Linked DNA regions of Oryctolagus cuniculus. The protein of the gene in region 5 interacts with the protein of the main gene of each other region in a biochemical or structural test. Links are inferred from orthologs where the notes say so. Each region holds a gene or a part of one and is shown on either strand. Other genes may lie near its edges.

What was found.
Region 1: the proteins of NFKB1 (region 5) and DPF2 form a complex in vitro, tested with the Homo sapiens proteins (2 studies listed by BioGRID). The link is inferred for Oryctolagus cuniculus from reciprocal best matches to the Homo sapiens genes NFKB1 and DPF2.
Region 2: the proteins of NFKB1 (region 5) and BCL3 form a complex in vitro, tested with the Homo sapiens proteins (2 studies listed by BioGRID). The link is inferred for Oryctolagus cuniculus from reciprocal best matches to the Homo sapiens genes NFKB1 and BCL3.
Region 3: of the proteins of NFKB1 (region 5) and IKBKB, one has a biochemical effect on the other in vitro, tested with the Homo sapiens proteins (4 studies listed by BioGRID and IntAct). The link is inferred for Oryctolagus cuniculus from reciprocal best matches to the Homo sapiens genes NFKB1 and IKBKB.
Region 4: the proteins of NFKB1 (region 5) and ELF1 form a complex in vitro, tested with the Homo sapiens proteins (2 studies listed by BioGRID). The link is inferred for Oryctolagus cuniculus from reciprocal best matches to the Homo sapiens genes NFKB1 and ELF1.
Region 6: the proteins of NFKB1 (region 5) and MAP3K8 form a complex in vitro, tested with the Homo sapiens proteins (2 studies listed by BioGRID and IntAct, with this or other methods). The link is inferred for Oryctolagus cuniculus from reciprocal best matches to the Homo sapiens genes NFKB1 and MAP3K8.

The regions. Positions count from the first base shown.
Region 1 is NC_091432.1:6,292,617-6,296,646, forward strand, and holds the start of DPF2 (zinc finger protein ubi-d4), read right to left. Parts: upstream 2,801-4,030; 5' UTR 2,574-2,800; coding exon of another isoform or gene 2,542-2,573; intron 1-2,541. UniProt on the Homo sapiens protein: Plays an active role in transcriptional regulation by binding modified histones H3 and H4. Is a negative regulator of myeloid differentiation of hematopoietic progenitor cells. Might also have a role in the development and maturation of lymphoid cells.
Region 2 is NC_091449.1:11,841,759-11,844,578, reverse strand, and holds the end of BCL3 (B-cell lymphoma 3 protein), read left to right. Parts: coding exon 1-53; intron 54-244; coding exon 245-449; intron 450-536; coding exon 537-625; intron 626-802; coding exon 803-880; intron 881-1,208; coding exon 1,209-1,376; intron 1,377-1,513; coding exon 1,514-1,631; intron 1,632-1,734; coding exon 1,735-1,922; 3' UTR 1,923-2,320; downstream 2,321-2,820. UniProt on the Homo sapiens protein: Contributes to the regulation of transcriptional activation of NF-kappa-B target genes. In the cytoplasm, inhibits the nuclear translocation of the NF-kappa-B p50 subunit.
Region 3 is NC_091433.1:92,496,149-92,499,648, reverse strand, and holds part of IKBKB (inhibitor of nuclear factor kappa-B kinase subunit beta), read right to left. Parts: intron 3,020-3,500; coding exon 2,931-3,019; intron 2,043-2,930; coding exon 1,953-2,042; intron 429-1,952; coding exon 304-428; intron 1-303.
Region 4 is NC_091440.1:60,213,364-60,216,863, reverse strand, and holds part of ELF1 (ETS-related transcription factor Elf-1), read left to right. Parts: intron 1-19; coding exon 20-127; intron 128-1,276; coding exon 1,277-1,444; intron 1,445-1,464; exon of another isoform or gene 1,465-3,500.
Region 5 is NC_091439.1:62,585,312-62,588,308, forward strand, and holds the end of NFKB1 (nuclear factor NF-kappa-B p105 subunit), read right to left. Parts: intron 1,364-2,997; coding exon 1,203-1,363; 3' UTR 501-1,202; downstream 1-500.
Region 6 is NC_091444.1:100,801,581-100,805,080, forward strand, and holds part of MAP3K8 (mitogen-activated protein kinase kinase kinase 8), read right to left. Parts: intron 2,314-3,500; coding exon 2,146-2,313; intron 1-2,145.

The DNA.
Region 1 (4,030 bases), on a different chromosome or scaffold from region 5:
CCATGGGGTGCAGGGCCCAAGCACTTGGGCCATCCTCCACTGCACTCCCGGGCCACAGCAGAGAGCTGGCCTGGAAGCGGGGCAACCGGGACAAAATCCGGCGCCCCGACCAGGACTAGAACCCGGTATGCCGGCACCGCAAGGCAGAGGATTAGCCTAGTGAGCCGCGGCGCCGGCCAATATATCCCTCTTAAAGTGAGGGCACAGGTGACTTCTCTCCCCAGTCTCCCTAATACCCATGAAAACATCTGCAACACCGTCAATCCGGACTTGGGAATAAAACGGCCTTGCCGGGCTCCAAGTCAGCACGCGAACACGGACACTTAGTCAACCTGCACGAACCCTGCATGGACCTCAGTGTCTCTTCCGCATTTTCGGGAGCTTGCACTCGCTGAGCTCTGACATCCCAGGGACCCACGAGCAGGCAACCCCGGGCGTGAGGAGCTGCACGCGCTACGTCTCCCGGGCTCATGCCCACCTCTGGCGCTACACCAACAAACCCTGCTCTGCAATCGGATGGGGGCTTTCGGTGAGCGGCACAGTGGAGCGTCCCTCATCCCCAGCAGGCAATCGCGGGACGGCATCGCCCAAGCACAGTCCGCCTGGATGCAGGCAAGGACCCTGCGCTGGAGACCTGAGCGGGGCTGGCTCCCATCGCTGGCCGTGAGGAGGCAGCCACGTCCTCCCCACGCAGAGGAAACTGGACAAACAAGGCTCAGTGCAGCGGCTGTTTCTGCTGATGCGACTGACGCTGACGCTGGGAACAGAAGGGTCCGCGGGCCGCAGGGCTCGGGGATGCGTGAGACGCTCTGTCGAGCTCTGGGGACCCTAGGGGACTTCAGAAGCGGGGCAAGCGGCAGTCTTGGGGTAACGGGGCTGGGAAGGACACCGCAGTGGGCACTGTGGGAAGCATCTGACGAGGAGAGCGAGAGATCGGTCTTAGGAACGCAAGGCCGTGTAGCAAGATATCTCACGTAAATTATCCTGCAGCTCTGGTACCTGACTCAGAGAGTTCCCAAACCACTGTTTTGCACCACCGTACTCTCACAGCGAGACCCGAGAGGGGGCGTCCACTCTGCTACCACGGTAGAGACAGAGCACTCACAAAGAGAACACCCTCTCCCCGACGAGCTGCGGGCGGCCCTGACCTTGACGGGGGCTCAGGGACTGCATCTCGGTGCAGGGGCGCGAAGCCTCCTAGGGAAGCCTGCAGCAGTCCCGGCCCCCAGAGAAGCTGGGGTCTCGCTGTCGGCACCCGGAGTCGGCGGCTGATGACCTTCACAATCCCTCCGGTTCTTCCGAGACCTGAAAAGCCAGGCTGCAGCTACGCGGCCGACCCCCTGGCTCAGACGGCGGGCGAAGCCGAGCTGCCAAGGCCAAGGGCATCCTCCCCCTCAGAACCCGGCAAGGCCGCAGCACAGGCTTCCCAGGTAGAAGCTTCAGGAACCGAGCCTAGGTGGGCCCTCCCGGGGGGGGGGGGGTCAACAAAGAGCACGGCGGGCAAACAAAGAGCCCGCGAGTCAGGAAGGCATCAGAGGGAGGGAAACGCCAGCCCAGAGCTGGGGAACCGGCGTGGGCAGATCGCAGAAACCACCGCGTCGGGCGGGGGGCTGGCTCCCAGGGGCAGCAGGACAGAGCAAGAAGCAAGTCAGGAAAAAAAAAACCAAACCACAAGCCAGGGAGAAGGCACTTAGCTTAATGGAACCGGGGAAAGCGCCGCGGGCAGGGGGAGGCGACCTGCTCGGCCACCACAAAGAGGAGACGCGGGGTCCAGAGAGCACGCCCCGCACCTGACCTTGGCGTCCAGCCAGAATCCAAAAAGCCCTAACTGGACGGCCAGACGCGTCCGCGCGGCGGCGACAAGGCCACCCCAGGCTCGCCCACGGGCACCAGCCCGCTTCCCAACGCACCGGACTCTTCCTCGGGGGGCAGGCGGCTGGCTCGTGTCACCAAGTCCCGCAGCATCCCCCAGGTCCCCGACCACCACCCAATTTAGCTCTGCCCGACCCCTGACCCGCACGACGGCTCCGGGTCGCCCGGAGGACGCCCCCCGGCCTGGCCCGCTCGGGCCCCGCTCCCCCTCAACTTCTCTCCCTTCTTCTCCGCGCTGCCTGCGTCCTGCGCACCTGCTACCCCAGCCCCGCAGGGACCGCCGAGCCTGCTGCTCCGGGCCAACGGCCGCGCGTGGCGGGGACTCGCCGGGGCCCCCCGGGGCCTGGGCTCGGCTCCTCCGGGCCGCAGCCTGAGCGCCGCACTCCGCGACCTGCAGGCCCCGCGGCGGCTCCCACACAGCCCCGCACAGCGGCCGCGGGGCAGGGGCTCCCGCGTGCCCCCCGCCCAGGGCCTCCACAAGTTTCCAAAGAGGCGCAACGTCTTCTCCGGAGTCCTCCCCCCCCCCGCGTCGCACTCCCCACCCGGAGCGGCAACCACGGCCTTCCCGGGCCCGTCCCCCCGGCCGCCTCCTCTCTTCCCGCACCGCCCCCTACTCCCAGGCCCCTCACAAGACCTCTCCGCCTGGGAGAGAAAGAAACGACCACTCACAGCTTCACTACATTCTCCACCACCGCCGCCATCTTCCCTGCTCCTCTCCCTCAGGCCGGGAGGGCCCGGAGCCCGCAGCGCGCAGGCGCCGGCGCCGCGGCGGGGCCCCGGGTGCCGCGTCCCTGTGCGCACGCGCCGTGGCTGCTCGCGAGCGCCGGTGCCCCGCCCACCGCGCCGCCGCGCGCGCGCCCTGTCTCTGCGCACGCGCCGCCTGTGCGCGCCGGGGAGCGAGGAGCTCCGGGCCTCTGGGCGGGGGGCGCCCGGCCTTCGGGTTTAGCGCAGCGAGGGAGCGCTCGGGCCGGTGCAGGACCGAGACGGCAGAGGCTGGCGGAAGCCGGGAGGCCCAGAGACGGGCTGGACGTATCCTGGCTCCTCGCCGACCTTTGTGGCTTCGGTTAACGCTTTTACCGCACGGGTGCGGTGCGGTGCGGTGCGGTGCGGTGCGGGCGGCGGGAGGTGAGAGGGGCGCGCCGCACCTCCGGCCCCCTAAGCGCGGGCAGCCTCGGTGCTAGCTGGCGGCCGGGTCTCTCCTCCACCCGGCTGAATGGCGACTCGGGCCCCAGCGGAGCCCTGGAATCAGCTCCCGACGGAGTCGCCCAGGGTCGACCCCAGCAGACTGAGAGACCTGCTCTGTGTCCTGGTGGGCTTCTTGATCGGTCCCTGCTTTTCCAGACCCTGCCCCGGCCGCCTCCCGCGCTCAGGCGCCCCCGGCCCAGCGCCCCAGGCTTCGTCCTTGCCCCTCGCAGCGCCAGTTCCAAGATGCGCCTGGGGCCTGCCCCCACGTGTTAGCATTTCCGAGTGAGGCCGTGTCTTCCGTCCCTGCGATTCAGGACGGTGCCTGCCTGGTCGGAGTCGAGAGGAACTGGCCGTTGCTTACCCTGCACCGCACCTGAGTTTGAGTGGTGTCGCAGTGTGGAAGGGAAGCCGGCACGATCCTGTTACCCAGAGGACTGCGGGGCCCCGGGGGTCAGAGCTCCCCATGCTAACCTCCTGCACCCTAGGAGGTTAGAAGAGCTCGCTTGGGTCCCTGCCACCCACAGGGCAGATCTGGCCTGGGTCCTGGGCTGCTGCTTGCCAGCCCGGGCTGTGGCCGGCACCCGGGACGTGAACCAGCGATGGAAGATCTCTGTCTCTCTGTCCTCCCCCTCTCCGCCTTTCAAGTAAAATTGAATGCATAGTTTGCGAAAGTTCGCCAGCACTAAGCATCCGAGTGCACCTGCCCTATGATCCAGCAAGCCCCTCCCTCTATGAGAACGAGGGATTACCACATCACGAACGAATCTCCAGCACTTAATATCGATCCAGAGAGGCCAGATGCACGAGAACACACTGTACGGGCTCATTTACGTCAAGTTACACAACAGACTCATTATCGCGAGAGGGCAGGAGAGGGGACAGGAGCTGGCACTGGGGGGCGAGGACTGTTATACATCCCCCCTGTTCTCTTTGTAACCGGCAACACGAGACCTGTGCATTTCTCTGTATGTGT
Region 2 (2,820 bases), on a different chromosome or scaffold from region 5:
ACCTCTTCCAGCATGGCGGGCGGGAACTGGATATCTACAACAACCTGCGGCAGGTGGGCCTGGGCCCCGGGGCTCAGGCAGGAGCCTCCGGAGGGCGGGGGCGGGGCCTGCACCCCGGAGCCTGGCGGGGGGGGGGGAGGGGCGGCGGGGCCCTGGCTCCGGCGTCTGGAAGAGGGGGCGCCCCAGGTTTCCGCTCCTGGGGTGCAGGCTGCGGCGCGGCGCCCTCACCCTGTCTGTTCTCCAGACTCCGCTGCACCTGGCTGTGATCACCACGCTGCCGCCCGTGGTCCGGCTGCTGGTGGTGGCAGGGGCCAGCCCCATGGCGCTGGACCGCCACGGCCAGACGGCGGCTCACCTGGCGTGCGAGCACCGCAGCCCGGCCTGCCTGCGGGCCCTGCTGGACAGCGCGGCCCCGGGCACGGTGGACCTGGAGGCCCGCAATTACGACGGTGAGTGCCCACCGCGGGGGGCAGAGTCGGGCTGTCCGGCCGGGCCTGGCCCCACGCCCCGGTGTGACTGAGCCTCGCCTCCCCCAGGGCTCACGGCCCTGCACGTGGCCGTGAACACCGAGTGCCACGAAGCCGTGCTGCTCTTGCTGGAGCGCGGCGCGGACATCGACGCGGTGGTGAGCATGCGCGGGGGGCGGGGCCTGGCCCGGCGGGGGCGGGTCCGGGGGCGGGGCGAGCCGGGGAGTGCGCCCGGGTGGGCGGGACTTGAGGCATCGCCTGGGAAGGAGACGCTGGACGGGGCGCCCGGGAGGCGCGCCGCCGAGAGACCCCAAACCCTTCCCTCCTCGCCGCAGGATATAAAGAGCGGCCGCTCGCCGCTCATCCACGCTGTGGAAAACAACAGCCTTAGCATGGTGCAGCTGCTGCTGCAGGTGCGTTCGCCCCCCTCCGGCCTGGCCTCTCCCCCACCCCCTCTCTGATCCCAACCCCACCATCCCCATGGCCCTCTGACCCCGCTCTCCGGCCTTGGGCGGGTCCGGCGCTGTCCTTCCACTCGACCCCACCCGCAACCCGGCCCCTACGAGCTCGAGTGGAGTTGGCCGGGCCAGGGTGGCCGTGGCCCGCTGTGGGTTCTCATTTCCACCTACCCAGGACCCCCCCCCCATATGCTCGGGTCCCAAGACCTGGCCAACGAGCGTGGGGGGGGCAGACTCTATCGCCCGCGAGGGCCCGCTCCTGACTGCGCGTCCCCGCCCGCAGCACGGCGCCAACGTGAACGCGCAGATGTACTCGGGCAGCTCGGCTCTGCACTCGGCGTCGGGCCGCGGGCTCCTCCCGCTCGTGCGCACGCTGGTCCGCAGCGGCGCCGACAGCGGGCTGAAGAACTGCCACAATGACACGCCGCTCATGGTGGCGCGCAGCCGCCGGGTGAGTGCGCGCGCCTGCGGGGCCGGTGCCCGCCCTGCGCCCCACCGAGACGACACGGAGGCCCTCCGCGGGCAGGAGTCCGTGCGCCCTGAGCCAGGAGACGGGCACCCCGTGGTGACCCTCCCGTCTGCCCCCAGGTCATTGACATCTTGCGGGGGAAGGCCACCCGGGCCGCGTCCGCGGCGCAGCGAGAGCCGTCCCCGGACCGCAGTGCCACCACGTCCCCTGAGGGCAGCAGCCGCCTGAGCTCCAACGGTGAGCCTCCAGCGCCCCCTCCCGCCGCCGCGGCACCCAGGTCCGGGCCCGGCCCTCCCCTCCGGCCTGGTGTCTCACGGCCTCTCCGGCTCTCTCCGCGCAGGTCTCCTCTCGGCATCACCGACCTCCTCGCCCTCCCAGTCTCCCTCCAAGGACGCCCCGGGATTCCCTCTGCCTCCCCCCAACTTCTTCCTCCCCCCGCCGTCTCCACCCGCCTTCCTGCCCTTTCCTGGGGTTCTGCGGGGTCCTGGCCGGCCGGTGCCCCCCTCCCCAGCCCCCGGAGGCAGCTGAGACCGATGGGGGGGCAGATCTTGGACTCAGGAGGACTCAACGACCCGCCCCCCCGCAGCACAGGGGTCGACCCTTCCGGAAACTGTGAAGATCTCACTCTGCCCCCCCCCCCCAATCTTTGGGACCAGGATTTTGCACCAAGGCACAGGCACCTACCCACAGGCCCTTCTGTGCACAGAGACCCTCACCTCGCCCACCCGGGACTCGGCCCTGCCGCTCCTGGGCTGCAGCCGCCCCGTCTGGGTCTGGGATCCCACCCAGCTAGGCGTCCCGTGGAGAGCCAGGGGCCGGCTCTGTACCGGGCCGAAGGAGGAGGGCCGAGGGGGGCACTGACCACTCTGTAAATTATTAGGCATTTTGGTTGGATTTCTTTTGTAATAAACTATTTTTGTACCATATCCCTTGCTCGGCTGGAAGAAGCGTGCACGCGTGTGGGGGGGGTGTGCACGTGTGTGTGGGTGCGCACGCGTGTGTGGGTGCACCTGTCTGCTGTATGCAGCTGACTCCGTGAGCTGCTGTGTTCGTCTCAGCCTGAGCACCGCTCACCACTGTGTGTGACATCGTGGTTCAGCTGCGAAGGTTGCCATGGTGACGTCACTGTGCCGTTAGGACCTGGTGTGTGTGTGTGTGTGTCTGTGTGTCTGTGTGAGACATCTGCCCAGGGGCCCTGCTGGATTCCATGGTGTCCCTGGGTGTGCTTTGGGGGATCCGGCAGTGTGTGGGTCCCGGGGTAACCCTCAACCGACCACAGTTCTGATGGCCTGCGAGTGTCCCTAACACTGCCACCCGCAGTCGTCCCGTGGCGATTTGTATGTATCATCTGCACTGCATGGTGTGTCTTTTATTTTTCACATTTACCTGGGAAACAGCTCCCATCGACTGGTTCACAGTGAACAAA
Region 3 (3,500 bases), on a different chromosome or scaffold from region 5:
AAGCTGGATGGGAAGTGGAGCAGCCAGGATTCAAACCAGTGCCAATATGGGATGCTGGCACTGCAGGCTGGGGCTTTAACCCGCTGAGCAATAGCACCAGCCCTGATAAATAAATCTCTTTCAAGAAAGTTTAATTGTGTCCTCCGACTTTATTAGAGAACGTGTTTTAGAATTTTCAGGTTCATATCTTAATCTCCTCTCTTAAAGCGCTCTATCCTAGGAAAATTCATCAGCAGAAGTCTCCAGGCTCGAGCCCAAAGTGCCTGGGGAGGAGAAGGCACAAAGTGGCCGGCCGTCACTCACCACTGCACAGGCTGCCAGTTGGGAAGGAAGGGTCTGAAGCCGGTGATGCACTCGAAGGCCAAGGTGCCGAAGCTCCAGTAGTCCACGGTCACCGTGTACTTCTGCTGCTCCAGCAGTTCCGGGGCCTACAGCGACAGACACGGCGCCGGGCAGGGCTCCCATCACCCACCATCTCAGTGCCCCGGCCTATCCGGCGGCAGGTGACCACCCAAGCGTGCCTCATTCGCTCCCAGTAATGCAGACAGAAGGGCTAAGGGCAGGGGCAATTCTGAGGTGGGTCAAGGTACCTCCTACCCGCCCACCGTGCTTTCAGCTCCCCCCTTTACACACGGGAACTCCTGAGCAGCGGCTCGGGACGGGCCACAGCTGCAGGTGGTTTGTAGACGGGAGGGTGGGCTACACGGAAGCAAGGAGAACAGCAGCAGAAGACACACGGCACACGTGTCGTAAGCGCCAGACGCCCAGCGCGCGCATCATACACAGCAGGCACACAACACACACAGAGCGCACCAGATGGCTGGCACGCATACGCCTCATAGGCGCCAGAGACACTCAGCACTCACGCCATCCGCACCAGTCGTCCGGCAACGCATCGCAGGTGCCCGATGACCAGCACTTGCCAGGACATGCATCGTCCGCACCAGATACACGACGCACACACTGAATGACCACCAAACACCCTGAACCGAGTTAACACCTGACCACACAACAGGGCGGGGTGGTTACACTCTGGCAGGGACTGCTGCCAAAGCGAGGGAGCGGGGGGTGGGCGTGGGGCACCAGGACGGGCCACAAAGCTGGGCTCAGAAAGCTCTTCACACGAGCGGATGGGAGGGGCCGTTCCGGAAAGGGCCGTCATAGCAAAGGCATGGGGACAGGCCTGTGCACAGGCTGGCGGGAACTGTGACACTGGAGGAAGAACAAGGAGTCCCAGTAAGAAATGTGGGGATGTTCGGGTCAATCTGATTATCTACAAATAATCCCGCAGGTGAGTGGTGACTCAGCAGCGGGTCAGAGCGCTGGGGTCTGTCCCTCAGCTCTGAGCCTGGGCAGTGCTCAGCGGGCCCTACTTAACTACTCGTCCTGGGCACCCAGGTGCCTGAGTCAGCCCCACACACGTCAGCACGCTGGGAACCGGGTCACAGAGAAGCCTGGCACCCAGTCGGCAGGCTTCAGTGATAGGATGACTGAGGTCAGCCAGTCGAGCGCCTTTCAAGTGCCTGCTACACAAACCGCCGAGGCTGGTGTCCCGGAGGAATGAGGGACTCAGGCAGAACCCCGACATTTAGGCTGGAGTATGCAGAGGGCGTGGAGCGCACAGCTCTGCCTGCTCCTCGATGCGTGAGACTCCTCACAGAGACCGCGGTCTCCACGCCAGCACGCGTCTACTGCATGCTCTTTATCCTCAGACAAAACACTGAGGCCGGCGAGGTTATGGGGCCTGGGTAAGGGAGCCAGCCACGCCCTCCGGCAGCAGAGACAAGGACCACATCCTTCCGCAGGGCCTCTGGGGGCACAACAGGCTGACGTGAACTGGTGACAGGCTGGACCTCACACCGGAGACCACACAGAGCCGGCAGCACGGGGCTGCCCCACCACCATGGCCACCAGAGAGAAGCTGAGAGGCAAACGTAGATGCCACTTCTTACCAGGTACTGCAGGGTCCCCACAAAGGAGGTACAAAGGCTGCCCTGATCCAGTTCCTTGGCGTATCCCAGGTCAATGATTTTGTGTATTAACTGAAAAGGAAAGGGAGGAGGGAAAACCTGAGGGTTAGGAGGCGACACTGTCCTTCTACAAGGGTTCTGGTCGCCTGCCCTTAGAGCTACGTCATTTCTAAATTCCCAGGTGGGATGAGATCCTGAATCCCTAAGAGCCACCACACACAGGAGGGCGCCCTTGTACGGCTCATGTTCTCCTGGCTCGGCCGCTGGTCAGATGGACGCACCGTGCACCAGACCTCAGACCCAGAGCCCGGGTCAGCCCCTTCCCGACACTCCCCAGCTGTCACATCTTAGCATCGCCAGCAACGTGAGCGAGCGCTGAACAAAGGGGAGCCTGTGGCTGTCAGAGGCTGGGCCTGGGAAGGCCATGTGTCTGAAGGGATCAGGTGTCCTAGGAGCCAAGGGACCACGGCCCCTCGGCTGAGCACACCAACCTCTACCCCTCACCCCACCTAAGCAGGGTGGTCGTTGATCAGCTCACTCACAGCTCTGGGGGACTGCGAACTGGACCAGGCTGGAGGAACAGGTGCCCCAGCTCTCGATGCCCCTTCCCAGCCACGCTTGGAAGCAGCTAGTGTAGCCGCTTTGTACACTAGCAACCAAAGTGGAGGCCCTCATAACAAACGCAGCCTGCTTCTGAGAAGCACTGGTCCCAAAGGCTGGGGGTGGAGGCAACAAACATTAGGTTCTTATCGGATTCCTGCAACGTGGGCAATTAACAATGGGAGCCATTCAAACTGGCCTCCATCTGCAAGCAAGGACTTGTTGCTGAATTCTGATCCCCAGAGAAGCAAAGCCACCAGGCGAGGAAATGCAAATATAAACAGGCGTACAGAGCTGCTCCTTTCCCACGGGCAGCTGCCCCGAGCACTGCCCACTCCCCTGTGCTGGGAGGCCACTCACTCTTTGCTCTCCTTGCTGCAGAACAATGTTCTCCGGCTTCAGATCTCGGTGGATGATTCTGTTCTCATGGAGGTATCTAAGCGCAGAGGCTACGAGGGCGCAGAGGGAGTGAATTCTCAGTAAGCCAGAAACGCGCTCTCCATCGGAGCGTCCTGTGCCCCTGAAGTGGGCCGCAGCCTTAGTGTACAAACTCTCAGTGGAGCTGGGGAGGGGGGGGGGGTGACCAGGCTACACTGGCAGAGCCACCGGAATCTGGATTTTCCATGCAAAGAAAAGGCTCTCAGCCTGGCGTCCAGGAGGCGGCCAACCACAGTCGAGAGCAGCAGGTGGGCCAGCAGCATCCTACTGCCTCAGACACCCTGGGGGACCCACAGTCTGAATTGGCAAGTCCAGGTGACGCTGACACCGACAAAGTTTGAGAAGAGAACTCTTCTTGGCTACAGGCGCAAAAATCTAAATTCCACAGGGTGGGCAGGGAGGAGGGCCCTTGGGGCCGAGAACACCGTGGCCCCAGGGTCTAGAGTCTCACAAGGTCAGAGCCAGCTTCCAGGGAGAAGTGGGAAGTGGGAG
Region 4 (3,500 bases), on a different chromosome or scaffold from region 5:
TTTCTTTAATGTATTATAGTTGAAGCTTCTTGTCATAATGGGGATGAAACAATTGAAACTATTGAGGCTGCTGAGGCACTCCTAAATATGGATTCTCCTGGCCCTATGCTGGATGAAAAACGAATAAGTAAGTAGTTAACGATTGTTCTTGTTTTGCAGAGTTATTCTTGCCATCTCTCTCTGTTAGTAAATATAAAAAGACCAGAGACCATATTTTAGATTTTAAGGTATAGTACTCGTAAAGGAACATTTGTTAGAGTGTTCAGTTAAAGACTTTTAATTTAAGGGATGAATACTTCAGGAATAAAAAAATATTAGTTATCAAATAGTAGGTTTTGCAGGTTTGCTGTCTAAATAAGATCATGGGTGAAAGTATCAGTGTGTTTAGGTCCTAATCTCTTGTTTAGTTCTCTCTGTAGATACTTATCAATAAATAAACAAAAACACCATTGGAAATTTCATTAATACTTCATGACCTAAAATTCACTGCCACATCATTGATCTGCTTTTAAATCCATGTTCTCCTTTAATTTTAAAGATAGTTACTTATGGTCTTTATTTTTTGCTTTTGCAATTATTTACCTGAGAGTGACAGCAAAATGTTCTGGAAGCAGTGAGTACTCTAGTTGGTGACATCTGAGACAGTACTCTAGTGGAGGAAGTGTCTTGACTTGGATTGTAAATTACAAGCTTTTAATAGGTAGAGGAGACAGGAAAGGGCATTCAAACTAGAGGGAACATGTTGAGCCCGAGACACAAATGTCTCAAAAAGATGAAATAGTTGAGCAAAGAAATGTTTTTGTTCAGCTGAAGTGGAAGCTTCCTGGTGGATGGGAGATGAGATGGAAAGACAGGCTTGGTTTAGATTATGAAAGCTTTGAAAAACTTGGTTTGGAGTTTTTGGCTTGTTTTTATCCCTGGTAATCTATGGGAAGATGTGTGGATTTTATTGTTAAGATTTTCAGGTGTAAGGTTTTTGTATAAAGGAATATTATGAACAGATCAGACACAGGACTCAGAGCAGCAGTACGAAGAACGAGAGGAGATAGACAAGTTAGACTGGAGCTAGAAAGTAAATAAGAAAGATAATGAAATAGTCCTCTCCAGTCTGGACTGATTTAGGTACTTGATTTAGGGCAGAAGAAATAAAAGCAAGGAGTTGATTTCAAGATTTTATTTCTACTTTAGTCTTCATAGAAACAGGAACTTATTTCATGAAATTATTTTGGTTTGTAATGCACCATAGATTATAATTAGTTGATCTTATTTCCCCTAGATAATAATATATTTAGTTCATCTGAAGATGACATTGTTGTTGCCCCAGTCACCCATGTATCCGTCACATTAGATGGGATTCCTGAAGTGATGGAAACTCAGCAGGTGCATGAGACATATGCAGACTCACCAGGAGCCTCATCACCAGAACAACCTAAGAGAAAGAAAGGTGGGTAGTTTATCTGTTTAGGGCATACAGTCAAACCTTGATGTTGTAATCTAATATCATATTTTTTCAAGGATCAGTTTTTTAAGATTTATTTTATTCATTTGAATGGCAAAGTTAGAGAGGGAGAGAGAGATCTTTCATTCCCTGCTTTACTCCCCAAAAGGTTACAACGGCCAGGGCTGGGCCAGACTAAAGGCAGGAGCCAGGAGCTTCTTCTGGGTCTCCCACGGGTATGCAGGGGCTCAAGCACTTGGGCCATCTTCTGCTGCTTTCTCTGCTTATCAGGGAGCTTGATCAGAAGTGGAGCAGCTGGGATTGGGACCAGCACCCATTTGGGATGCAGGCATCACAGGTGGTGGGTTTACCCACTATGCCACAATGCCAACCCCATTAAGGATCAATTCTACACCAGTTAAAATGTATTTAAGAAAAAAATTGAGGGTACAACACATACATTAAGAGGCAGTTTTTCATATTAGAGTCATTCTTTTAAAATGCTTATTTTCAGCTACTTGAAAGGCAGAGCAACAGAGTGAGAAAAAGAGATCTTCCATTCACTGGTTCACTACCCAAGTACCCACAAAGGCAGGGCTGGGCAGGCCAAAGCCAGGAGTCAATAACTCCATCCAGGTCTTCTATATGGGTAGCAGGGGCCCATGTACTTCAGCTGTCTTCTGCTGCTTCCCAGGATGTATTGGCTGGAAACAAAGTAGCTGTGACCTGAACGGGCGCTCCCATATGGGATGTTGAAGGCATCTGAAGTGTAGACTTCACCCACTGCACCACAACACCTACAAAGAATGATTTTATCTATTTGAAATATTTGGTATATCTCACAGGAAACAAGTTAAAAAACAAAAACAAAAACAAAAACAAAAAAAACAAAAAAAACAAACAAAAAAAAACTAGGCCCAGAAAGAACTTAGGGGTAAGGGCAGATGAGCTCCCTCCCAAAAGGCATAGTTTGAAAGTCACCAGTCTGTGCCAGTGATTCTAATGGAAGATTTCAATGAATTAAAAGTTAACAGGTAGGAAATTGAAGAGGAAAATGTTGCAGTGTGTTGCCTGGGAATTTTTAAGTTTCCACAAATTTTCATTGTATTGATGATTCTGTTCCTGCTTGTTTGATATTTTGAGTTTAGTCCTTGTTCATTACAGCACCAACCACCAGTAACCTAAGTTTACATGAAAGTAAGAGAAATTCCAAGAGTCAAAAATGAAGAAGAAAGTGAAAATAGTGTGAGCCGACCTTGCAGCAGCTCTGAAGGGTTGAGAAGGATTTGCTAACAAATTGTTGCCCATGAAGAGGCAAAAGTGGAGGTCTTAGACTTATTTAAGATGGTTTATTGGGTAGAGATCACAGCATCTAACTGGAACCCTTGAAGTACTATAATTTCAAGGGTGAAAAATTCTACCAGTTGACACAGACAGATGTACTGGAAGTTTGTATTTCTCAGCAAGGGTTCTGAGTAGAGAAACTAATTCTTCCTTTGAGAATTCAGTAATCCTAGACTTCAACATTTGAGGAATTCCTAGCCAAGAAATTAGCATAAGAATAGTCCAAGGGTAATAATGACTTTGGTGCAACAGGTACAAGCTTTTGGTTTTTTTTTTTGTTGTTGTTGGACAGGCAGAGTGGACAGTGAGAGAAGGAGAGGGAGACAGAGAGAAAGGTCGAGAAAGGTCTTCCTTTTCTGTTGGTTCAACCCCCAGTGGCCGCTGTGACTGGCGCGCTGTGGCTGGTGCACCACGCTAATCCGAAAGCAGGAGCCAGGTGCTTCTCCTGGTCTCCCATGTGGGTGCAGGGCCCAAGCACTTGGGCCATCCTCCACTGCCTTCCCGGGCCAGAGAGCTGGACTGGAAGAGGGGCAACCGGGACAGAATCCGGTGCCCTGAACAGGACTAGAATCCTGGGTGCTGGCGCCGCAGGCAGAGGATTAGCCTGTTGAGCCGCGGCACTGGCCATGGTACAAGCTCTTGTAAAACTACGCTGGTGATTTATATATTCACCTAGGCTGCATGGAGTTTCCTCAGATAAAGTGCTATTGAAGGTTTC
Region 5 (2,997 bases):
GGCCGAGGGCAGGTAGCTCTCAGCAATGGAGGAATTCTGGAAGGAGCCCCGGCGGCAGACCAGCAAATCCTTGTTAGAGTGGGAACTTGGTTAACCAGTGCAGTGTTCACCAGAGCACCTCATCTGAAACCGTTTCTTTTCTCTTTTTCCACCTCTGAGTGAAGAGGGTTTAGCAAAGCTTCTTGCTTGTCCAGGGCCTTCTAGTACACTGGAATTTCAGAAGATGTGTGGCAGAGGCAAAGGAGAAGACGGTGAAGAGGTCTGGTGTTGTGAGAGATGACACGGTCTACATGAGATGGGCCAGGCTGGGATTTGACAACCGAAGGCTTGCATCTTAGCTTAAAACATTTGTCTTTTGGTAAATGTTTTGTTCATTGCTAGATAAAAAAAAATGACTCAAAAGGGGAATCGGAATATAATAATCAGGCTATGGAGTGATCCCATGATTACAAGGAATCATCTTAGGAAAGTACTGGCAGAGATCAAACAAGGTGAGATCATCAATTTGCTTTTCCTTTTATTATAAAAGTAAAATAAAAAATAGCATTTATAAATCCAACATTTTTTTCTTTAAAGTATTTGATCTAAAAAACATATTTACAATAGCAAAATGCAGAAAATGGTGGAGAAATTTTCAGCAATGATTGTAACTGTGTTTAAATATCGATAAGTACATGTTGTTTTCAAATCACGGAGATAACCACGTTAGAAAAAGCAATGTTTTTTTTGTTTTGTTTTGTTTTTTTATTGCACACCAAGTGACTCTCCTTATAGAATATCCCTTTTCTTCACCCTTAATCTGAACGCACAAATGTGCCACGGACGGCCAGCAGGAACACTGGGTGGGGACAGTGACAGCTCTAAATGACAGTGGGAACGCAGCAGAGGGACAGCAGCAACGACAACAGGAAGCAGCCGTAATCCAGGAGCAGCTTTGAAAGCTCAAGAAGCTACCTCCCCCCCAACGACGCGTCAGCGCAGCCGAGTGCTGTGATCGCTACACTACCTGCAAGGGAGCCAAACTAAAATCCATTACGAACCAAGAAAGGCAGTCCAGCCAGGGGCCTGGAATTAAATCGACAATGATTCAGGTAGGCCGGTCCTCCTCCAAGCACCTTGGGACGCACTTTACCTTCCTTCCGGTGGGCAATACAGTGGAATTCAGGGCTTTGGTTTACACGCTGTGGGACACTGCTGGGAGGCTAGATTTTGCCTTCGAGAGGTCCTTCTTGCCCGTACTCGTGGGGCATTTTGTGAAGAGTTAGCATCGAGCCGCTGCTGGGGAGGGACTCCGTGAAGCTGAGTCTGCGGAATGACGTCTCCACGCCGCTGTCACAGACGCTGTCGCTGTCTGGCAGCTCATCTGTGGGGAGAAAGCACAGACTGACGGGGGAACAGCCTCTGCTCTCACAGCCTTACCGTCCAGCTGGGTTGTGAGCTGGCCTCTAAGAGGCCCAGGGACGACTCATCTGCTGGCTTCCAGCAGTCGGTGTGTCCCACCTACACGGCCTGCTCACTGCCGCCGGTCCCGGTGGTGTGTGTGTGGGGGGGTGGCAGATGCCGTCTCACGTAAAACCTGCAGCCGCGAGTGCCAGCCGAATGTTTTCACATCTTTCTCTTGCAATCTAGCCTGTGTTTACCAGAATCCTTTCTGAATTCTCTTGACTCAAAATGCACCTGCTTTCTTAGAAATCAGATGTATTTTTCCAACCACTGTATCACCTATTTTATACTTGGGGAAACTGCTGAACCTAGGCAAAATAAATGAACAAAGTAGCAGCTAAAAATGAAAAATCTGTGAGCTGCTTAGGCTTTTCAACAGTATATACTGTCTCAAAACAGTTTTGGTGGCAAAAAAAAAAAAAAAAGGGCATTTTGATGAAAATGAGTCCATTCTGGAAAACTAGGTTGAGTTCTCCTTTCTGAGAAGTACTCTTAGGGATGTGACCAATGAAAATAATAGATATTAGAATACTAGGGCTTCAATGGCAGCTGATGACTATTGTGTTGGTATTAATTTATCCAATCAACCAGACTTTATTTGATCTATGTTCTAGGAACTTATTTTAAAACTAACTGCAAATTAAGGGATTAATTCTTATTTTTTTCTTTGAATTTTTCTGTAGAAGGAGCACTGGGTCATAAGGCAGGAGATCTGGGTGGTTCTCCTAGTGGGCACAAGGACATCCGTCCTTAGTCCCCTAGGCAAGCCCCCCTCGCAGGGCAACACTGCTGGCCAGCAGGAACCACCCAGGTGAGGCGCTTTCCGGGAAGCGGGAGAGAAGGGCTCTAGGCCCTAGGAAGCAGAGAGAAGGCCTCGGTGGAAGGGGAGGAGGGAAGAGCTTGTCAGTGCAGCTGGAAAGAGTAAACGGCTCAAGCAGGGACAGTGTTTCTCCACCTTAAATGTGTGCTTGGTGACGATTCGCTGAGTGGATGAATGGAGAGGAGACAACAGGAGAAACAGATCTCACCGATTTCACACGTGGACGGCATCATCTGTTGTGGATGGGAGGTGGACAGAGAGGAAGCAAAGGGACTGACTGGGAGCTGTCTCGGGGATCTAGGCAAGACGTGAGTGGACTGGACTGGGAGCGGTGCTGACGGTTACTTCTCAGATTTGTGTCTCCTTCCTGGTCGGATGGCAGTGCTTCTAACACACGTGGCCACCCAGGGTTCTGTGCAGAGCAGTAGGGAGGGCTGTGGAGAGGCCAGGAGTGGAGGACCGGGGACTCTCCCTGGGGGAGCAGGGAGCGGTTGCCTGGGACACACGCACGTTGAGGGGATGAGAGGGACGGCGACGTGGAGGCTGCTGGTCAGTAACAAGGGCAGGGCCAGTGGAGACCTGTGCTGGTGCCTCGACAGCAGGGGGTCAAGGAAAGGACAGAGGTGAAGAGGTGGGAAAGGCTCTATGAAATTCTTCTGTGTAGGGGAACTGAGCGATTGGCCTGTTGATAAAGGGGATGTGGTTCAGGGCCATGGCTGCTCTCCGTTTGTAAA
Region 6 (3,500 bases), on a different chromosome or scaffold from region 5:
TGTCAGCAAGAAAGCAGTTCTTTAGGTGTAACCAGCTTTGGACCTGTCTCCGAAACACGGTGCTAGCTAAAAAGGTAGTGAGATGCCCAAGTGCGTACCTTAATTTCCCATTTATGTGAAATGTTTAGCCTGTCCGTTCCTATCTGCACAGACGTTCCCACGAAGAATATACTAAGAACCCACCAAGAGCAATCGGCTCAGAGCATAGGGGTTTTAGGCTTCAGGTAACACTTCTTTTGAGGCTTTTGGGGGGTTTTTGATTATCTCTGTGTGTTTCAGTCTTAAGACAAGGACAGTTTCAAAATTAAATGTTAGTACTGTAAGGAAAACCACCCACACAACTATTTTCCCATGCTTTTTGTGACTTGCTGAGAAACGACTCAGCAGTTCTAACATCTTGAAAAATCTGCAGACCTTTCTCAGCGCACCTTAAACACAAACCCCTCTCAACGCAAGCTTCAACCCGCTGGCTACAAGTCTTCTACGTTCAGATACCCCTGCCAAAGTGCTAAGCTCATTTAATGACGGTAACAAGGACTGGGACGTAACATTCAGCAATCATTATTATCTTTAAAATTATTTGAGCAGTACAGAGAGAGAGCGAGCTAGCCGGTGAGTTTCCTGGTTCATTTTCCAAATGCCCACGACAGCCAGAGAGAGAGAGAGAGAGAGAGAGAGAGAGCGAGCGAGCTGGTGAGTTTCCTGGTTCATTTTCCAAATGCCTGCGACAGCCAGGGCTGGCTGGGAGCTGGGGACTCGATCCAGGTCACGGGCGTCGGGGGCAAGAACCCACTGACTTGAGCCATCCCCATTGCCTCCCAGGGTCTCCATAAGCGAGAAGCTGGAGTGTGAGCTGGCCCTGGGTATGGAACCCAGGCACTCTGATAGGGGACATGGGTGTCCTGGCTGTGCCTTAACACCTAGGCCAAACATCCACTCCTTTATTCTATTTTTTGTAACTGAAAAGCGAGTGCACTTCAATTAATTCTTCGTTAGAAGTCCAGTCTCTTCTCTCCCGACCTGTCTTTCCTATTTCTCTTATATAAACGGAATGTCACCAGGCAGATCTGCCTTTGGGTCTGGCTCAACACCACGGTCCTGAGACTCACGGATATTATGGTTGTCACGCGTGGATTCTCGTTGCCGCCCAGTGTTCCACTGTATAAACACCTGGGAAGTTTCCAGCTTGGGACACCCAGCTAACAGTGCCGACCTGAACAGCCTAGCGCCCAGCTTTCAGCTTGTGGTGAGCATGAGCGCACGGGCCACGCCCTGCCGAGTGTACCTACAGACCTGGAACTGTTGGGTCACAGGGTGCGTGAGCACCCAGCACGGGAGGGGGGGTGAGCTGCCCAAGAGCTGCAATGTGGCAGCACCCCAGGTGCTACTGTCTAATCAGGACAGGTGAGTTCTTAGTCACCGCTGGTTTTCGACTCAGCCCTTTCAATCCACAGTCCCGAGTAGCTTTCTGTTACCCCAGCTTCTGCTCCTCTGCCCGGGCCCCCTCCCTACAGGGGAGGAAGAATGAAGCTACTCTTGGGGTGCAGGTGTGAACACCGAGCCTCGGCCCCCCTCCACTCAAAGGCAAAGACGTCATCCAAGCTGGGGCGCTTTCCTCTAACCAGATAGAATTCCACAGCGCACCAAAGCAGACATCTGAGGGCTGAATGTCCCCCTAGGAAATCCAGAAACACAAACGTATCTCAGGGCACAGCCGGTAAAGCCATCACCTGGCGACGCCATCATCCCATGTGAGAGCAGGTTGGAGTCCCGGCTGCTCCACTTCCGATCCAGCTCCCTGGTAACATGCTTAGGACAAACAGCGAAGATGGCCCCTGCACCCAGATGGGAGACCTGGATGAAGCTCCTGGCTCCTGGGTTTGGCCTGGCTCAGACCTGGTCATTGTGGCCATCTAAGAAGCGAACTAATAGATGCAAGATATCTCTCTCTCTCTCTCTCTTTCTGTGTCTCCCCCTTTGACTTTCAAATAAACAAATAAATCCTTAAAAAGAAATGTGCTGGGCAGAGCACCCTTGGAAAGCAGGATCCCCTCAAAGGGTCGGAACTTCCGATGCCTGCAAATGAACCCGCTGAAGCCAGAAAGGCGAACACGCCCGGGGAGCTCCCGCTGAGAAAGCACGCACCAGTTTACACGCCATTCTCTTCTTCGTCTTGATATCCTGGGCGAGGTACACTTTGCCGAAGGCCCCGCGAGGAATGAAATCAGAGCCGATGTTCCTGTAAGTCAGCTTCCAGGGGACAAGGAGCACGTCAGAGTCGATCTGGTACCGGCCGTTCTGGGGGGTGATGACCTGGGGCAGAAGGAGGGGCAGGAGTGAGGATTGCGGGCGGAGCAGGCCTTGCTGTAGATAAGCGGCCGGAGATAAGCTGGAAGTGCTGGATGGTGTTTGCAGTTCACGGGGCAGCGTGCCAGCCTCGCTAGGCAGAGACTATATTTAGAACTTGAGCAAGACAGAGAAAGCATGAAACAGACACATATCCCCGGTCAGGCCCGGTGAGCAATGAGTTGCCAAACAGAGCCTCCAACGCATTGTTTATGTAAAGCAGCATGACTCGTGTCATCAAACGGCTTAGAATAAAGACTGCAGAGCCACAAACCGTGCCTGTGCATGGACGCGCCCCTGTCTGAGTACGCGAACCTGTTTGCTGGCATGGCTGTTACTACTCCACGGTGCGCACAGAAACAGCATGGAAATTAACTGGCGATCACGGAGGGTTTGGGACGGCAACGTGTCGGGCCAGACTTACGAGCTGCCAATGCCACAGACATGACGTGGGGGCAGCATTACTCCTCATCCACTTACTCACTTCTTACTGTTCGCACGCATACTGGGTGCCAAGCCCCGCGTTTCCTGCTCAAGATACAGTCACGAGCTATGGAGGGAGATCAGTGACCCCTGACCTCCAAGAGGAAACGTCTAGAACCAAGGGTCTCCAAGCAAGTGGGCTTGGAAACTAAAAAAGCATTGTGGGTTCCCAGAGCAGGCGCGTTTGTCCAAACTCATCCACCTACACTGCAGATCTGTGCATTTCACTGCCAATAAAGTGTACAGGGAGTCTCTGGTTTACCGATGGCTCGACACAAGGATTTCTCCTATTTACGATGGGGCAGAAGCCACGGGCTTCAGCACCAGCTGTGCTTTGATTCGTGGGCTGGGGTCTTTTCCTGGGCAGTGGCAGCAAGTGCAACCCCCATTGGCTTCCACGGTCCTACAGAGACACAGAGCACACCTACTGTGTGCGTGTGGCCAAGCTCTGATGTCCAGTAGGTCCGGTGGACTGAATGTGTTTTTGCCTTGAGACATGCTCCAGTTACAATGGGCCTGTTAGGACACGGCCCCGTCGTAAAATGCAGAGCATCTGCACATCTCAATTTTTACAGAAGAAGAAACTTCGAGGCAAAATAATTATAACTAAAATAAAAACATATTCGTGTGAGAATCCAGAGCAACTAGGGCCTGGAACCCATGCCTAAGAA